2 linked regions of the Ovis aries genome follow. The protein of the gene in region 1 binds, or shares a complex with, the protein of each later gene. Links are inferred from orthologs where the notes say so. Each region holds a gene or a part of one and is shown in the gene's direction. Other genes may lie near its edges.

Region 1 (4,411 bases):
CCATTCTCAACAGAGCAAGTATTTCCCCAGAGGAACACTCTGGAAACTTGCTGGGGGCACTTCTGATTTCCACAACCATTTGGAGCAGCGTTATTGGGTTTCCATGAGTGCGGGCCAGACATGCCAGATATACTGGAAACGCACAGACCTGTCCCCCACAATGAAGTGGCGTCACGTGACTGCAATGTCCCGCCGCAAGTCCACGTGGATGGAACATTTGAAAACCCATTAATAAATGATCTGAGCCCAGACTCTCACAGGGCCACAGGTATTTTAGCTCAGCTAAAAACACCATCCCCCCCACCACCACCAATTTTTAATTCCCAAGGAATTGCCTATGAAAATAAATCAGAGGAAGATTTGTATGTTGTTTTGGAGGAACTGAACGTGACTCACCATTGCAGAAAGCCGCATCGCTGGTAGTGACCGTGGCTGCGGCGTGGAAGGGCCAATATGACAGGTGCGCAGCAGAGAGTGCTCCCACCTGGTCCCGCATCTGACAGTATCGCTGCCGCTTCTAGGGTAGTCACGGCAGAGCATAATTAAAGAAACGTTATCTTCTCACAGTTTCCTTTTCCCCTCCATATTATAAAGCATTATTATTATTTTTTAAATGTTGTGGGTAGATTCTATTAACTACAAATTTCACTTCAGAGTAGTAAAGGGCACATAAAATATTTATATTATCAAAAAGAGTCCAACAGTCTAACAGTCTAACAGTTTGAGGATTTTAGTCTTAGAAGTCCATTGACCTGGTGAAGCAGAGAATTAACCTTGAAATAGGCTCTTTATGGCTGGTGGTGATTAAAGGGTCTGTCTCTCCCACTGCGGGGGGTGGGGAGGGCACGGGGGGCTTCTCAGGTGGCACAGTGGTAAAGAATCTGCCTGCCAGTGCAGGATATGGAACAGACGTGGGTTCCGTCCCTGGGTAGGGAAGGTCCCTTGGAGAAGGAAATGGTAACCCATTCCAGTATTCTTGCCTGGAGAATCCCCATGGACGGAGGAGGCTGGTGGGCTACAATCCATGGGGTCACAAAGAGTTGGACACAACTTAGCAACTAAACAACGACAGCTCTCCCAGTGGACTGAAAAGTTCCCTGGGAGGTGCTGGGGGCAGGCCTTATTCATTTCTGCCTTCCCTCCTCACACGGAGCCCAGCTTTGAGTTGGGGACCCAGGAGGCCTCCATGGGATCCAGCCCTTCCTTCCTGCGAGGTGTTCAGCACCTGCAGCAACTATGTCCCACGAGGAGCTGGATCTCACTAGGGTGCTGCCTGGGTTGAGAAGCAGAGGCTCTCATGGAGGAATTGCCCGAGTCAGGAGTGCAGGATTACAGGGGATTATGGGAAGCTTTTCTCTGCATCTTGGCTTTCCCAGAAACACCACCATCTCCAAGCAGAATGTTAATCAGTAACAGCCCCCCGGGGGCAAGGGGGTCACACTTTGGAATAGCAAATATTTACTGCAGGCTTCCAGCTACAAGCCCTAACCTTCTGTCTTTGCCCTGAATGAAGGACCTTCCCAGGCACCAGGTGGCCTCTCACTGGTAAGAACAGTGGATCAAAGGGAGGCTTCACAGTGTCTGCCTAATGAAGAATAGGGAGAGAAGACCTGTCCTCTCTGGGTGGGTTCCCAGGGGAGGGGGTGGCAACCTGGGCAGCGCTGATCCCTCATTCCTGGACTGGATGGGGCGGGCAAGGAGGTGGGGGTGGTAAGAGGCTTGTTGTAGACACAGGAGGCTTCTTCCGCAGAGAGGAGGCCAGTGGAAGAGGCTTTGAAGGCTTGAGATGTCATGCCCACAACACTCCATGCAAGCCCCACATAGCTCCCTGGCCTTCTTCTCAGAGACCTGTCTGCCCGAGCAAGTGAGTTCCTGCTGCTTCCAGATTTGGGGGTGGGTTTGCAGCTCCAGGTACATTCAGGGCTGAGAAGTGGTGTGTGAGTGGTGGGTTTATTACTACTCAGGTTCTAGAGTGCCATATCTCTGTGTCATCCTTAAAAAAAAGTCTTTTAATTTTTTTTATTTATTTATTTTTGGCTGTGCTGGGTCTTCATTGCTGCACGGATTTTTGTCTAGCTGTGGCAACCAGGGGCTACTCTCGAGTTTGCAGTCCATGGATATCTCATTGCAGTGGCTTCTCATGCGGGGTACGGGCTCCAGATGGGCAGGCTTCAGTAGTTGCAGTACGTGGGCTCAGTAGCTGTGGCTCATGGGCTTTGCTCCATGGCATATGGGATCTTCCCAGAGCAGGGATTGAACCCATGTCTCCTGCATTGGGAGGCGGATTCTTTACCACTGAGCCACCTGGGAAGCCCCTTAGAAAGTGAAAGTGTTAGTCACTCAGTTGTGTCTGACTCTTTGCAACCCCATGGACTGTAGCCTGCCAGGCTCCTCGATTCATGGGATTCTCCAGGCAAGAATACTGGAGTGAGTAGCCATTTTCTTCTCCAGGGGATCTTCCTGACCCAGGCATTGAACCTGGGTCTCCCACACTGCAGGCCGATTCTTTACCATCTGAGCCACCCGGGAAGCCCCTTAAACAAAATTAATGGCAATTACAATGAAGTGAAGATGAACAGGTTCAGGAATAGCAGAGGACTTGCAATTTGGGACAAACTGGCAAACCATAGACAATTCTCAGAGAGACAAAGGCAGGCTGGCTTTTCTTAGCTTCTGGGAGGAAGCTGGGGAGGGTTGCTTTGAACAAAAGCTCATTGGAGGAGAATGAGAGTTCAGAGTTATGGCAATTTCTTGTCGGAACCAAGTGGTGGGTAGTTTGCTGTTACTAAGGTATGTGGAACTCTTCTTCCTGCTGATCATGAATACTGAGATGAGTGGGAATGTGTGAGAACCCACCCTGCCATCTCCTTCTTCAGGGGTATCTTCACAACCCAGGGATCAAACCAGCATCTCCTACATTGGCAGGCAGATTCTTTACTACTAGCACCAGTCTGTGGAAACCATCACAGACAGAAGTGACTCTGAATTTGAGAGTATCGCTGTGGGATTAATTTACAAAGGGGTACTAAAGCCTGTGATATAATGAAGGCATGAATCTGGGTACATTTGGTACACTCCAGCAGGTCTTTACCCAGCACATTTAATGCTGGAGTTACCTTTAGAGTGCAGGCTTGCCATTTAGAACTGGGCAAAGCTTCCTAAGTGCTCACAGAAAACAGAGGAGTATTTCGCTGAGTAAGGTCATGCCACTCAAGCAATGGAAAGAACGAGGCCCTGGATCCTATGACACTGTTTAGCAAAAGCCAAAGCAATGTGCTAAGTCCCGGAGCCAGGGTTCATCTTGTAGCCGGCCCAGCGAGGACACAGGCCTCTGCGTCCACAAGAGGCCGGGGAACCTCACCCCGCCAGCACATTTTGCTTCAGGTGGCCTGGCTGAGTGAAGGTCTCTGCTGATAGAAACTCTGTGAGGCCTGTGGCCTCCCTTGGCCTGTGTGTCCTGCGCTGAGTGGTCCTGCCCCACCCAAGCCCTCCTGGGGCAGTGGGTTCAGAAGAGAGCGAGGGTGCATCTCAGTGACCTTCCAAGCCAGCCTCTGGTGGTGTCAACACCAGGAGCCCCGTGTGGCCCATGGGGGTTTATTCAGATGGAAACTCCAGGTGATCGGGAGCTAGGCTCTGTGCCCAAGGATGAGAGGGAGGCCAGAGAGGGGGCAGTGGTGGGGAGTGTGGTGTATGGAGACCCACTGCCCAAGCTGGAGGGCTGGCTCCGCTAGAACAGGCAGCCTCAGAGTGGGCGAGAGGACGCACTTCACAGGTTGAGGGTTAGGTGAGACAGTCCAAGCAGAGTTTAGCCCGGGCCCGAGTGGTTTGAATTGGCTCATCATCCGTTCCTATCCTGGGGGGCTCTGGAGAGAGTGAAGGCAGGAAGTCCTGAGAGGAGCTCTGTGACTGGGTCCCAGGGCTGGGCCGAGCGCTGTAGGGGAGGCACGGGGGGTTTATTGCAGAATCAGGCAAACTCAGCATTCATCCTTGCCCCATGGCCCCCCAGACCCTCTAAGTCCCCAGCCAAAGGCCAAGGTCCAAGTCCCCACAGCCCAGCTTGAACAGGCTGCCCTATTGCCCAGCGATCCAGGGCAGCGAATGAAGCAAGTAGACAGGGAAAGCTCTGGGAAGATCTCCCAATTCCCGGCGCTGCTGTGACCAGCACCCAGTGAGGCCGAGGACCCACACCGCATTCCCTCACATCCCCTCCCTTCTTGGCTGCCTGCCATTCTCCTGGGAGGAACTGGGATGGGTGAGGACAGCTGGGGCAGCCTGATCCCTGATGGAAACGAGAGGAGGTTTCTCTCCATGAAATAAGGTATCTCCCCTCCCACCGACTCAGGTAACAAATGTGACCCTAATTGCTCAGGGTCTCCCCAGCCCTGCCTCGGGGGCATAAGCCCTGACCCCC
Region 2 (3,802 bases), on another chromosome or scaffold:
ATATATATATATATATATATATATATATATATATATTTTTAGGGGGCTTCCCTCATAGCTCAGTAAAGAATCTTCCTGCAGTGCAGGAGACCTGGGTTTGATCCCTGGGTTGCAAAGATCCCCTGGAGAAGGGAATGGCAACCCACTCCAGCATTCTGGCCTGGAGAATCCCATGGACAGAGGAGCCTGGCGGACTGCAGTCCATGGGGTCCCAGAGTCGGACGCAACTTAGCGATCAAACCACCACACACATATCTTAGGGTCCATTTATTTACCCGCTTCTTTTCGGCTATGGCGGGTCGTCACGGCTGCAGGCTTTCTCTCTTGTGGCAGGCGGGCCCCCTCTCCCTTGTGGTGCTCAGGCTTCTCGTCGCGTTGGCTCCTCTGGAGGAGCGCAGCTCTGGGCTCATGGACTCAGCAGTTGCGGCCCAAGGGCGCTAGAGCTCTGGCTCAGTAGCTGGGCACGAAGGCTTAGGTGCTCCGAGGCGCGTGGGATCTTCCTGGGCCAGGGATGGAGCCTGTGTCCTTTGCATCGGCCGGCAGACTCTTTACTGTGGGACCAGGGAAGCCTCTCTCTAATATATTTTTTAACTGCTTTAAAATATATTTTCTTGGATGCCCATGTATAAGAAAACTCCTCTGAAACAGACCATCTTTCATAGAACTGGGAGAAGTGAAAAGTTCCTGGTGGAAGAAAAGCTGGGCTTGCGCCCTGAGGCTGCAAGCCCACTCGAGCTGTTGGGAGCTGGGGACGGTGTGTGGCTCATGCGCTTACCTCCAGGCTTTAAGCCTGAGGGGTCTCCCACCTTTAGCTGCCCTGCCCGAACACAACGCCTCCCATACGCAATTTACAAACTTCCATCATTGCTGAACTGGCTTATAAAACAGGAAAAGGGGTGGGAATTTCTCACATCTGCATCCGGCACGCTGCGGAGTGGGGTCCTGGAGACCACCAGGACGGGAGGCGCCCGGGAGGCCGTGGGATCTGTGCTGCGTCTCAGCTACTGACACTCTCCCTTCCTCAAGTGGGTCACAGCAAATACACACCAAACAGGACGCAGAGCACGCGTTGGGGTGGCTGTTCAGTCCCACAGTCCTGTCCGACTCTTGCGACTCAATGGACTGCAGCCCGCCAGGCTCCTCTGGCCTCGGGATTTCCCAGCAAGAATATTGGAGATGGTTGCCATGCTCTCCTCCAGGGATCTTCCTGACCCAGGGATTAAGCCTGCCTCTCCCGCACTGCAGGCGATTCTCTACCACTGAGCCACCTGAGAAGCCCAGGACATATATTCAGTTCAGTTCAGTCGCTCAGTCATGTCCGACTCTTTGCGACCCCATGAATCGCAGCATGCCAGGCCTCCCTGTCCATCACCATCTCCCGGAGTCACGCATTAAAGAGGGCATTAAGTAGGTGTAGCTTCCCTGGTGGCTCAGCTGGTTAAAGAGTCTGCCTGCAAAGGGGGAGACCCGGGTTCAATCCCTGGGTTGGGAAGTTCCCCTGGAAAAGGAATGGCAACCCACTCCAGTGTTGTTGCTTAGAGAATCCCATGGAGGGAGGAGCCTACCAGACTACAGTCCATGGGGTCACAAAGAGTCGGACACGACTACGCGACTTCGCTTCACTTAAGTGAAGCAGATGTAGAGAATTTCACATTCTCGTTTCAACCAGCATTTTCCTACTAAGTGAACAGAGTCAGCATTTTCTCACCTTCAAGCTCAGCTGCAGGAGAAGGTGGGAGAACAGGTGTTTGATTTCTAACACTCTGATGTTAACTCGGACAGGATGAATTCTGGAAGACATACATGGGTGAGTGTCCCCTCCACCCCGCCTGCCACCTCCTCTGCTTTTTGCTTTGATGGGAGGAGGCATCAACCCCGCTCTCCAGGGCTGAGAACTCGAGGCCAGAGGATTCCCAGTGTCCAGCCTTGGGCTCCTGGACTTTGACCCAAAGGAAGGGCGCCGGGCCGCGGGATGAGGGGGAAGCTCGCCCACCCCCCAGCTCCCATGGGCCTCGTGCTGATGGCCAGAGCCGTTAAGCTGCGGAAGGCAAGGCTTGCGGGTGCTGTTTGGGGACCACGGTGCCCGGGGGTCTCCAGGAGGCCTCTCGGCAAGGAGATGGATCCTAGAGGGGCAGGCGGGCAGGCTGAGCCAGGGGCGTCAGGGGGTCACCCGTGAGGGGCGTCCTCTCTGCAGGCGGCTCCCCATGTGCCTCCCAGCCTTGCCTCAACAACGGGTCCTGCCAGAACAGCATCCGCGGCTACACGTGCACCTGCGCGCCGGGCTATGAGGGCCCCAACTGTGCCTTTGGTGAGCCCCGCCCCTCCCCGGGAGCCCCGCCCCTCCCCGGGACCCCCGCCCCTCCCCGGGACCCCCGCCCCTTCCCCGGACCCGCGATCCTCCCCTGGATCCTCGCCTCTCCCCGGGAGCCCCGCCCCTCCCCCGGGACCCCCGCCCCTCCCCGGGACCCCCGCCCCTCCCCGGGACCCCCGCCCCTCCCCCGGGACCCCCGCCCCTCCCCGGGACCCCCGCCCCTTCCCCGGACCCGCGATCCTCCCCTGGATCCTCGCCTCTCCCCGGGAGCCCCGCCCCTCCCCCGGGACCCCCGCCCCTTCCCCGGACCCGCGATCCTCCCCTGGATCCTCGCCTCTCCCCGGGACCCCCGCCCCTCCCCGGGACCCCCGCCCCTTCCCCAAGGGCCCAGCTCCCTGGGTCATGGGTGCGAGACCGTCCTCAGCTTCATCACCTGGTGTCCCTTCAATGTTGCGGGTTGGGGTGGCGGGGAGCGGGGGTCAAAGCAGCCAGAGACCCCTCCATGCAGAAGTGAACTCCGCTCTCGATGTTACGGAACCTGCTCCACCGGCCTCCCTGAGAGCTCAACCGGGTGCTGGAAGGACACCCCAAGTGCAGCGCGCCGAGCAGGGGTTCCAGCTTCACCCCACATGCGTCCCCTCCCCGTCCCGACCCCCACCTCGAAGAAGCCCCTTAAGATGTCCGGCTGCTGTGGCGGGAAGTGAGCCCACAGAGGGGCCAGGAGGATCCTTGTGAGGGGCGCGCGGGGCTCCACGCCCGTTCGTTCCTGACCCGGAATGGAAGTGCTCACGTGAGCGTGTTTGGAATGAAAGGCCAGAGCCCCATGCTCAAGGATAGCTGTTCAGTTCAGCTCAGTCGCTCAGTCGTGTCCGGCTCTTTCAACCCCATGGACTGCGGCACGCCAGGCCTCCCTGTCCATCACCATCTCCCGGAGCTCACTCAAACTCATCCATTGAGTCAGTGATGCCATCCAACCATCTCATCCTCTGTCGTCCCCTTCTCCTCCCACCCTCAATCTTTCCCAGCATTGGGGTCTTTTCAGATGAGTCAGTTCTTCCCATCAGGTGGCCAGAGTATTGGAGTTTCAGCTTCAGCATCAGCCCTTCCAATGAATATTCAGGACTGATTTCCTTTAGGATGGATTGAAAAGGATACTTCAGAATGGCTGTTTCCGGGGTAACATTTCTGTTTTCCCCATTTTCTTTTTTAGCTAAAAACGAATGCCACCCTCTGAGGCTGGACGGGTGCCAACACTTCTGCTACCCGGGACCAGAGTCCTACACGTGCAGCTGCGCGAGGGGCCACACGCTGGGCCAAGACCGCAGGTCCTGCCTCCCCCACGGTGAGTCTCCCCCCGGCCTTCCTCTGCAGCGACTCTGAAAGCCCACCTCCCCTGCTGTGGCTGGTCAGGGCTGGGGGAGCGGGCTTCCCAGCCCTCGCCAGGCTCCCTACCCGCCCCCCACCCACCATCTCTGAGAGCAGGTATGGAAT

What was found.
Region 2: the proteins of SERPINA10 (region 1) and PROZ are in contact, whole or in part, in a crystal structure (PDB 3H5C), measured with the Homo sapiens proteins. The link is inferred for Ovis aries from reciprocal best matches to the Homo sapiens genes SERPINA10 and PROZ. Residues at the interface, in NP_001094077.1 of Homo sapiens: Arg88, Lys89, Ser91, Met92, His94, Asp95, His257, Asp259, Lys260, Tyr261, Asn282, Phe283, Lys305, Met306, Asp308, His309, Leu310, Ala311, Leu312, Asp314, Tyr315, Leu316; in NP_003882.1 of Homo sapiens: Cys129, Pro131, Cys141, Leu142, Pro143, Ser151, His250, Met251, Arg252, Asp254, Ala257, Glu259, Asn260, Glu284, Lys285, Asp286, Phe287, His290, Leu291, Thr336, Thr337, Arg338, Arg390, Ser392, Leu393, Trp394, Gln397.

Annotation. Positions count from the first base shown.
Region 1 is NC_056071.1:56,759,749-56,764,159, reverse strand, and holds the start of SERPINA10 (protein Z-dependent protease inhibitor), read left to right. Parts: upstream 1-1,484; 5' UTR 1,485-1,545; intron 1,546-1,750; 5' UTR 1,751-1,864; intron 1,865-4,411. UniProt on the Homo sapiens protein: Inhibits activity of the coagulation protease factor Xa in the presence of PROZ, calcium and phospholipids. Also inhibits factor XIa in the absence of cofactors.
Region 2 is NC_056063.1:85,860,021-85,863,822, forward strand, and holds part of PROZ (vitamin K-dependent protein Z), read left to right. Parts: intron 1-275; exon of another isoform or gene 276-1,268; intron 1,269-1,708; exon of another isoform or gene 1,709-1,782; coding exon 1,783-1,807; intron 1,808-2,194; coding exon 2,195-2,308; intron 2,309-2,744; exon of another isoform or gene 2,745-3,441; intron 3,442-3,521; coding exon 3,522-3,653; intron 3,654-3,802. UniProt on the Homo sapiens protein: Appears to assist hemostasis by binding thrombin and promoting its association with phospholipid vesicles. Inhibits activity of the coagulation protease factor Xa in the presence of SERPINA10, calcium and phospholipids.